2 linked regions of the Nothobranchius furzeri genome follow. The protein of the gene in region 2 purifies or fractionates together with the protein of the main gene of each other region. This does not show direct contact. Links are inferred from orthologs where the notes say so. Each region holds a gene or a part of one and is shown on either strand. Other genes may lie near its edges.

Region 1 (4,910 bases), about 6.6 Mb from region 2:
CGCTTCAAATCTCATGACACATCTGCGTGACCATCACCCACAACTCTACAGTCAACGTAAGGCAAGCTAACGTTAGCGTTTTAGCTAAAATGCGTGATCCGAGGATTTGGGTTGAGGGAGAATGCAACGAGTCGCTATATAAAGCAGCCGCAGTGCCGCTACCTGCATATAAACCGTGTCGCGGACACCGCCATGTTGAAATAATGCTATGCATTACGGGGCTCCCAGGGGCAGATAAGAGTTGGTCTCTCTCCGAGGCGTTGCTGCCTTTCACAGACACTTTTTCTGCACGTGCTGCAAACAGGATAGCCATCCGTCTTCTATAAACTCCCTCGGCATTCTTCAAATATCTAAAATATGCCCGTACTTCCGACTTTGCGTTCTTTGAGGGATAATAAATGTCCTCCTGAGCGCTGCCGTCTCCTCCTTTGGCCATTATTTCAGCTTTAGCTTCAAGAAAGTTTTGGTTGTAAACAGCAAAGCGCGCATGTGCCGCCGGCAACTTCAGCCGATGATACGGTGGCTGGTAAGGGTCACCGCGCCTACACCGCAGCTACGGTAAACCCACCAAGATAATATAGTTTTTTAAAAAACAAGACGGTTATTATTGTCAACTTTTTTTTAACCGGGGTTTAATGCTACACTGGTTACCGTGATATCCCTACGGCTGATCGGTCTGCTTTGATCTATTTTGAAAATTCCGATCAAAACCGATAGGGGCGCTATCGGCCGATTACGATCAAATGCCGATCTATCGGTGCATCCCTACTGCCCACAATAAAAGGACACCCTGCCATGTGCAGTTTGATCAAACAAAACAACGCCACCGATGTCACAACCCTTGAGGGAGCGAGCAATTGGAATGCTGACTGCAGGAATGTCTACTAGAGCTGTTTCCCATGAAGTGAATGTCCACTTCTCTACCATAAGCCGCCTCCAAAGACATTTCACCTGCAGTCACATGATGCAAGTCTGTTCTATTTAACCATTTTCTTTGACCAAAGAAGGACTGTGTCCTCGTAAGCAAAGGCGTCTGCCCTAGCCAGACATCGCCTTTCGAGGCCAGGCGCCTTGACATCAAGAAACACCCCTTATGGTTCTACATGGAGAAGCCGGCTCAGTCTTCTCTGCAGGCAAGGATTTGGCCACACGATGGGTTTTACAACTTTCTAGGTAAGAATGGAAGTCAAGTACTTCTGGAATTCACATCTAAAACCATTACCCATAGCTTAAAGAGGAGCCGTGGCTGCTGCTACTCATTCCTGCACACACTCCACCACTAGACTAAACATACAGCCAATTCTCAACGGGCAAAACAGATAAGTAAATGTATAGCTATGATCCTACAGCACTGAACAAAGCTGAAGCTGGTTTCCATTTCTAGCTCCTGATTCAGAAAACTGATTTTTAGGACACCCTGAGCCTCATTTACCCTGCTCTAATTTTAAAACTACAATCCTTAGTTTTCACATCTGGACTAGGTCATTCTAGACCAGCAATCGCTAACTAACGTGCAAGATAAATATTGGATTGTTCGATCACAAAGCAGAAATACAAACCTTCGTGTCTGTGTGGCTCAATCAAGACCTTCTTCCCTCCTCCAAAGCCCCTGCCACCACCCCTACCTCCTCTTCCTCTAGGAGTGCCTCGGCCGCCTCCTCTCCCTCTAAATCCTCCACCATCAGGGGACCGAAACCCCCCACCTGAAAAACAAAATGTCTCATTGGAATCTGTGCTGCATTTATGAGTAGGAAATACGTTTAACATCAACTATCACTGAGGTGAATTATTTTGTCAAAACATTTTTGTGGACTAAATGAAGCAAAAAATCTTGGATAAATGACTAAATTGATCAGACATTTTTGAACAAATAAAAGATTATATTAAAGATGGCGAGGACAAAAACCCATTCAAAAGACGGGAAAGATGCGAGTAACAGACATAAGACCACTCAGACTAGGTGAGAGAACCAATCAGAGCCCGCCTACTGAGGTGAAGAGGAGCTAGCTTCTGTTTAAACAAGCTCACAGGTGTTAAAATTAACACATTTGTGCCTTCGACAGCATCCTCACCTCTTCCTCCACGTCCTCCACGATCACCAAACCCCCCACGTCCTCCACGATCACCAAAACCCCCTCGTCCTCGTCCCCCACCTCCTCTTCCTCCTCTGTCCCCACGAAAACCTTAAACAGAAGGACACATCAGACACATTTAAACAGGAGACAGTGGTCTCTAAATGATGTCATTGTACTTTTATATGGGCCAATAGTACTTGTTTACTTGTCACTGACAGTAAAGCAATCATCTCCCTCTGAGGACAACTTGTTTTTTTCTGGAAATAAATCTTTAAAAGTTTATCTCAAAAAGACCAATTAAAATATTTTACCCAGAGAGGTTTTTAAACTATTGATTTATGTTTTCTAAACTTAAAAATCCATAAATCTGAACTTTACTTTAACCTTTGTAACAGCAAAAACTCAACTCTGCTGCAAAGGAACCTCTAGATGAGGAAAGTGGCTTCACCATTCAAGGGTTTAGGATTTAATGTTCTTCATGCTGATAAATATCAGCTTCCTCTGTTGGTGACGCGCTAGCCACACACACGAGTTGTACAGTTCGTGTTTTCTGAGTTGATGCACTAAAGTTTTACTTTCCTGTGTTTTGCTCGCGTACTTCGGTGAGTCCGTAGCACGTGCCTTAGCCGTTTACAACTAACAATGATAATATACGGTCTAATTGTTTGATCTAACAACACAGTTGTGTCTCTTGAGCTCACTTAAGATCCTAGCCATTCGTTTCTTAATGCTTGAACACTGAGAACGGTAACGTTCCATGATAATGTTCCCGGACATGCAGGGCGCTGTAGCCAGACACACACACACACACGATCCAAACCAGGCCCGTAAAGACAAATAAAAACCATGAGTTGAACAAGTCCAACTCGTCATTGTAACAAGCACGGGTACTCTACCTGGTCTCATGTTGCCCAGAAAACAGCCTTAACCCGATCAAAAATTAAGATTCTTATGTTTTTCTCCCGAATGCAGCGTTCAGATCAAGCAGCGTGCGTACGTGCACATGCTCAAAACGTGTTTTCTACTTTGCGGTTTTATGGCAGTCCGCCTAAAACTGTACGTGCACTAACTCCACCTAGCGGTCTGGAGGGTGACCGGCACCTTACCGCTTTGACAAAAACAACAAAAGAATAAGTGTTTCTAGTGATCTTGTACGGCCATTGGTGGGCAAACTGGTGAAACATTGACCCACTATGAGACTGGTTTAGGTTCAAGAGACTGGTTTAGGTTCAAAAACATACTGATGAAAAATATATGAAAATCTGGAATCTGCAGCACCGAGGCACTTGACCTATTACTTGACCTGCCAACTACCGGTAACTTAAAAATGTTTTAGTTGCTTAAAAGCTGATGTACTGAAAAGTGTTAATTGCTGTCAGGTATTTTTATAAATCCTTGAAAACTGCTGTTAAGTCTCTTCTAGAAGAAAATTAGATCATTTAGTGTTGAATAACTACAGACCAATAATCTCCTCTTTGGGGAAATTACTGAAAAACAGTTATGATCCAGCTGAACAACTTTTTGGAGACAGAAAACTTGCTGGTTGGTTTCCAGTTCGACTTTAGACAACACTGCAGCACTGAGATGGCACTGATTAAGGATTTAAATGAGTTTGGTCTCAATACAGGATTCAGGCAAAACATCTGCTCTGGTGATGCTCCATCTGTGGACCACAACATCCTTCTTGATAGGCGTCGTGAGCACCTGCCCCTTTTGCTCGAAGTGTTCAAAGTTCCTTTTTTTCGGTCGTTCGTCAGATTTTACCATACACAACTCAGATGCTGTGTAGCAACTTGTGATGGGCAAGACTCAGTTTAGGCTTTGGTCCATTTCCATTTGGATAACACTAGCTACTCTGACCTAAGGCTCAAAATTGTACAAACACTGCATAGTCTAAGTAATTTTTAATTACTTAATTAATTACTTAATTAATTACTTAATTAATTCATTCATTCATTCAGTCAGTCAGTCAGTCAGTCAGTGTAGTGGCTTGGCCTTTAGGGGGCAGCAGAGCGTCAGCGCTGACGACCTGAAAAAGACACAAGCACGCGTAAAGCCCAGTTCCTGGTTGTTGCTCGTAGAGCTGCGCATGAAAACATCATGCTTCGTGCAGTTTTTTATCGAGCTTTTCTTCCCCTCAACCGACTGTCAGTCTGTCACTATAGCAGCGCCATCCCAGCGCCCAACAGCCAGCCTGAAGTCCACTACAACAGGGTAAGAGTTATCGGACAGGCTGGACACAAGCCTACTTGTTGCTCTAAATGCGTAGAAATGTCACGGAGCGGTGGCCCAACGTTTGTACCTTTAACTTGTCAAGAGTATAGATGTCGATGGTCAGGAGTCGGTGTTCAGTGCAGAGGGAATATTTCCATCGTAGAAGCACGAAAAAACGAGTCTGAAGATAGCTTCCGATTTCAGCTTCTTTTTTCTCTACTCTGACCATCTGCTCTAGCTGAAAAACTACAACAGCCACACTGTTATAGTAGAATAATCTAGAACAGGTTTGGACAGTGTGGCTGTTGTAGTTTTTGAGCTACAGCTGTTCCATTGTTGACCAGATGCTGAAAAAACGCATAAATCAGGCTTTGTTGAAGTTTCACAAATCAGGGAAAGGTTTTACAAATCCCAAACAAGGTTGTATGCCATCTGCTATTATTGTAGAATATTCAAGAACAGGTTTGAACAGTATGGCTGTTGTAGTTTTTCAGCTAGAGCAGAGTAGAGAAAAATTGGGTGTAATCGCCCTTTAGCCGTTTCCCAAATTGGAATCTGGAATCGGAAGCTAACTTCAGCCTCGTCACGAAAAATGTGTGTTTTATGAGGTCATTGGTCCAA
Region 2 (4,579 bases):
TTGGACAGCTCCTATGCTGCGTTTTACATGTGCTGTATAAATTAACTATGGTATGGTAGGTTGGCAACGTTCATGTGCCTCTAAGAAGCTGTACCACCTTGAGTCACGTAAAAATGTGACTAGACTTAATACACGTGACAGCCCCATCTAGTGGACAACTTTTGTTTCTGCACATTCCTGTAGTTATACCCATTTACCGTTATTGAGGTGAAATCCTCAATATATTGTGATACTTATTTTAGGCCATATCACCCTGCCTTAGAAGAAAGGCTTTTAGCGCTTCTTTTTGTGGTTTTAGAGACAAGTTCATGTCCTTTAAAACAGAGGAAAGAGCCGCAGCGAACTCCGCCTCAGACGCCGTCTTTACTGTTTATTGTTTAGCACTGAGCAGCGTTGCGGTGTGTGACAAACGCTGCTCAGTGCTAATTGGCTGGGTCAGAATTCTCAGGGTGTGGGTTTTTAATGGGTTTGTTACCAGGCCCTTTGGAAGCACTGGCCAGGCTACTGAATTATAGCCATTTAAACAAAGTCCAGCCTTGCTTGTGTTTGGAACCAAACTGTAATTTAATAAAGCTAATAATTACTATGCATTACATTAGTGTATGACGTCTTTCTTTGAGACTGAAAGTGATTTTCAGACTTTGACTTTCCTTGAAGAACATTCAATTCCCATTCCAACATTCACTATTTTCTAGCTGGTTTTATTTGTCTGGAATTTATTACACTCTCACTGACACCACTATTGTTAAAGTCAGAAGTTTTTGGCTCCACTTAAATTTGAATAAATGCATTTGTTCTGACAGATGGCTAAATTAAATGAACTTCTGAAGCATTTTTGAATGAAAGTGGTGATTTCAGTACTGGATTCAGTTGAAAGATTTGTTTTGTTTCATTCATAAAAATTGTATTAAATTTAATTTACTGCATCTTACTAAAATACCTTACTTTAAACACTTCAATAAGTTTTTTAGAATTGCATCCAAAACTCACTAAATCATAATCAAACCATGACATGTAACCCCATCTCCGACATCAGATTACAAAAAACATCCTCTTGACCAACTGATCTAATAATCAGATTAGGACTGAAACAGGTGAGGGGTCATAGAAAAAGAGAATAGGCAGCCTAAGTCACGCCCATCTACTTCCAGACTGTGGATCCCTGTAAGAACAAACAAATGTATGCAAGTCAGTGGGGCTATAAGTTATTTTCTAATTGTGTGCCATGGATTTCACATATGATCCGTGAATTTTAATGACACATTCTGATATTAAGAAAGCTCTTTTTTTTTCGAGTAGGAAAAAAAGTTATTTTAGATTTTGTGTGAAAATATGTCCAGGACTACGAATGTGCATCACCAAACTGCGACATTGAATCAGAAATGGAGAAGAGCAGAGGAAAAATGGCTGTAAGTTCAGTGAACTTCAAATCCTTCCTTCAGGAGGGAAGAACCACCATAAATGTTGTTGGTTTTATTGCTGTAAAGTGTTTTTGTGTTCCTTGAAAGGTGCTTTTAAATAAAATGCATTATTATTATTATAAATTTGGCCATGTGGTAGGTAGCAGCTAGGCTGGGGGGAGGAGATTCTGTGGTGATATGCAACATACCTTCTGATTTGTAGTGACAGTAATTACATATTTTTACAAGCTGATAAATCATGACTGGCGTGGTCAAAACACACAATCATTACTTTTCATTTAAATTGCAGTGCAGTAAATGGGCAGCAGTAGCTCAACAGGTTGAGGGGTTGTATAGTAATCGGAAGGTTCGATCCCGGCTCCGGACAGACAATTCTGCTGTTGTGTCTTTGGGCAAGACATTTAACCCACCTTGCCTGCTGGTGGTGGTTTGAGGGATCGGTGGTGCCTGTTCTCGGCAGCCTCGCCTCCGTCAGTGCGCCCCAGGGCAGCTGTGGCTACATTGTAGCTCATCGCCATCAGTGTGTGAATGTGTGTGTGAATGGATGAATGATACACTGTAGTGTAAAGCGCTTTGGAATCCTTACTCTGACAGGAGCTATACAAGTGCGGGCACATTATCATTTAAATGTGCGATCCAGGGCGTAAGGAAAAGCAGATTAGAAAGTAGCTCCTCTAGCCCTGTTCACTTGCATTCATTTTACCGTTCTTCAAGGGACTCATGAGCTGACCGAAAAGGGAGGAGACTTGGGCTCCCTAAGCTTCCAGATGTTGATAAACATTTTACCGTAAAGAAGGAGGTTCCACAGTATCTGACAACCACGCCACGAATAAAACCTTCATGTGCCTGCAGGGTGCGGACACATTCACGCTTGGTGAGATCCCAGACTTTCAGCTAAAAAAAGTGAAATCAAAGGAAAGACAACATTTACTGAAAGGATTTCAGATTAAGGGAGGTTATGAAGTTCTGGTGATCGGCTGATTATTCACCTCGCCATCACAAGAGCCTGACAGCAGGGTGGAGAGGCTCTGGGTATGTTTTGCCAAACAATTGACACCATCTCTGTGACCATCCAGTGAAGCCAGGAAAGGCTTTGCAAACACCCGCTCCAACTTAGTGGCATTCAGAGCCCGTGTGTACTCTCTGCTCACCTCGAACGGATGAAGGGATGGGTCATAGTTTCTAGGGACTGACAAATAAATTTTAAAAAAGTGTCTTTAAGTCAAAAACACGATGTAAATAACAAAATCTTCTTTCTACAATCACAAAAACAAACAGAGCTTGCAGTATAAGTGAGAACTAATATATTAGAGAATTAATTAAATGTTCAATTTAAACCGACTATAGTAATTCCCCAGAACAAACAGTTGTGCTATCTTAATGTTGTTGCTACATGGACGTAAACAGACTGTGGCTAGCTACGTTAGCATCTCGCAGATAAATATCCAACACTTACCACGCTGAATGTCTAGTTTAGTCTCCCGGACATAGTCGTCCGGGTTTCTTGAGAGAACTTTGACTTTCATTTGGAAGCGAAAAACAACATAAGAACTTTAGAAAATGTTTAATTTCGTTAAGACTACTGTCTTGGACATGCAACCATGTGTAGATAGTTTAGCGTAGAAGGAGTTCCGCGTTGCATTGTGGGATGGCTGGTCCTCCTCGTTGCATCATCAAGAAATTTTAATCAAGTTCAAGATTTCATATAAACAAAGAACCGGAAGACTTCATTTTGGCTTACTTTTTATTTTTAAGTTTACAATAAGCTTAAGCAGTGTGCATATGAAACTGGATTTTTTGAATAATTTCGTTGCTTGTCTGTTCATATCCTTTTTGTCTAAATAGATAAACAACTTAAATAATCTAAATGGTGTGCTCTACACAAAAAATGAAAGAGTGGTCACATGGTAAATAATAAATTATAAAATCATTAAGACAAACCAGCCTTGTCTTAAAATAAAAAATAAAAGCAATAATCACATCAGTGAAGATAAAACTAAAAGCAATTTTAATGCTTCTAAACGCTTCAAATTGTGTCAAAATTTATGAAAGAAAAAAATATGTCCTGGTTCAAAAAAGTTTGTATTTTATTTTGAAAAATATTCGGAAACCTTGTTTCAACAACAGCAACATTGACGCTTACGTACTCCGCAAGGTCGATGAAGCAGGGCTGTCATGTTGAAGAAGTACCTTTAGGGAATTTCGCCTCTTGTTAGAAACCTGTTTCAGTTTGTGGCATGCATTAATATGCGTGTTGTAGTTAAATGCTGCGGTGGCTTCAGTCAGTTGTCTCGATGTTTTGGAGCAAGCTGGAGTTTTTGGGTGATACGAGCTGCGCGCGCTGTAAACTGAGCTGAGCTAGCTACGTTCTTTTTTTTTTTTTGTTTAGCTTTTGCGAGCATGAGTTCTGCTCCTAAACACGGTACCGCTGCCGAGACAGAGCTGTCCAACAAGTCCATGTCCGCTGTCACTGTAACCGGAAGCCTCCAGAAAGTCTTCAGCCATGTGAGAATAGAAAACCTGGTGGCAGGACTCAGCGGTGGAGTTGTGTCGACGCTGGTGCTTCACCCACTAGACCTCGTCAAGATCAGGTTTGCAGGTATGTCTAGAGAATACACAGTAAAGCTAGTTTCTTTTCTCTTATTATTCGTGCACAGCCCTTGTCCACATGTGGCTTTATCTGCTCTGGCAGGTTTATTTTAAAACACCTGCACAGAGCTTAGTTCATTACTTTTGCCATAACATAATTTGAACGTCTGTCTAACGCAGTGAGTGATGGCCTGGAGCTGAGACCTAAGTACAGCGGCATGTTTCACTGTATGAAGAGTGTGTGGCACCAGGAGGGACTGAGGGGTCTCTACCAGGGAGTGACACCTAATGTTTGGGGTGCTGGTGCTTCCTGGGGTCTCTATTTCTTCTTGTATGTAAACTTCTGACTGTATATCTGCAGCATTCATGAGAAAGTTTGTATTGGAAGTGTTTCACTATGGGATGTCTCACTGTCTATTCTGTGTTCTTTTGCAGTTACAATGCAATCAAAGGGTATACAAAAGAAGGGCGTCAGACTGAACTAAGTGCAGGAGAGCACCTTGTCTCGGCGGCTGAAGCTGGTTAGTTTTAGATCTGTGCAAGCACATGCTCATTCAATCAGCACACAG

What was found. The genes of interacting proteins can lie anywhere in the genome.
Region 1: the proteins of dcaf13 (region 2) and fbl purify together in Homo sapiens (affinity purification with western blotting; 3 studies listed by BioGRID, with this or other methods). This does not show direct contact. The link is inferred for Nothobranchius furzeri from reciprocal best matches to the Homo sapiens genes DCAF13 and FBL.

What each region holds. Positions count from the first base shown.
Region 1 is NC_091745.1:58,450,185-58,455,094, reverse strand, and holds the start of fbl (rRNA 2'-O-methyltransferase fibrillarin), read right to left. Parts: upstream 3,102-4,910; 5' UTR 2,982-3,101; coding exon 2,972-2,981; intron 2,184-2,971; coding exon 2,073-2,183; intron 1,704-2,072; coding exon 1,560-1,703; intron 1-1,559.
Region 2 is NC_091745.1:51,876,099-51,880,677, forward strand, and holds the start of dcaf13 (DDB1- and CUL4-associated factor 13), read right to left. Parts: upstream 3,077-4,579; 5' UTR 2,948-3,076; coding exon 2,878-2,947; intron 2,611-2,877; coding exon 2,411-2,610; intron 2,316-2,410; coding exon 2,208-2,315; intron 1-2,207. Other genes in the region: slc25a32b (solute carrier family 25 member 32b), read left to right, coding at 3,822-4,020, 4,191-4,341, 4,446-4,531. UniProt on the Homo sapiens protein: Part of the small subunit (SSU) processome, first precursor of the small eukaryotic ribosomal subunit.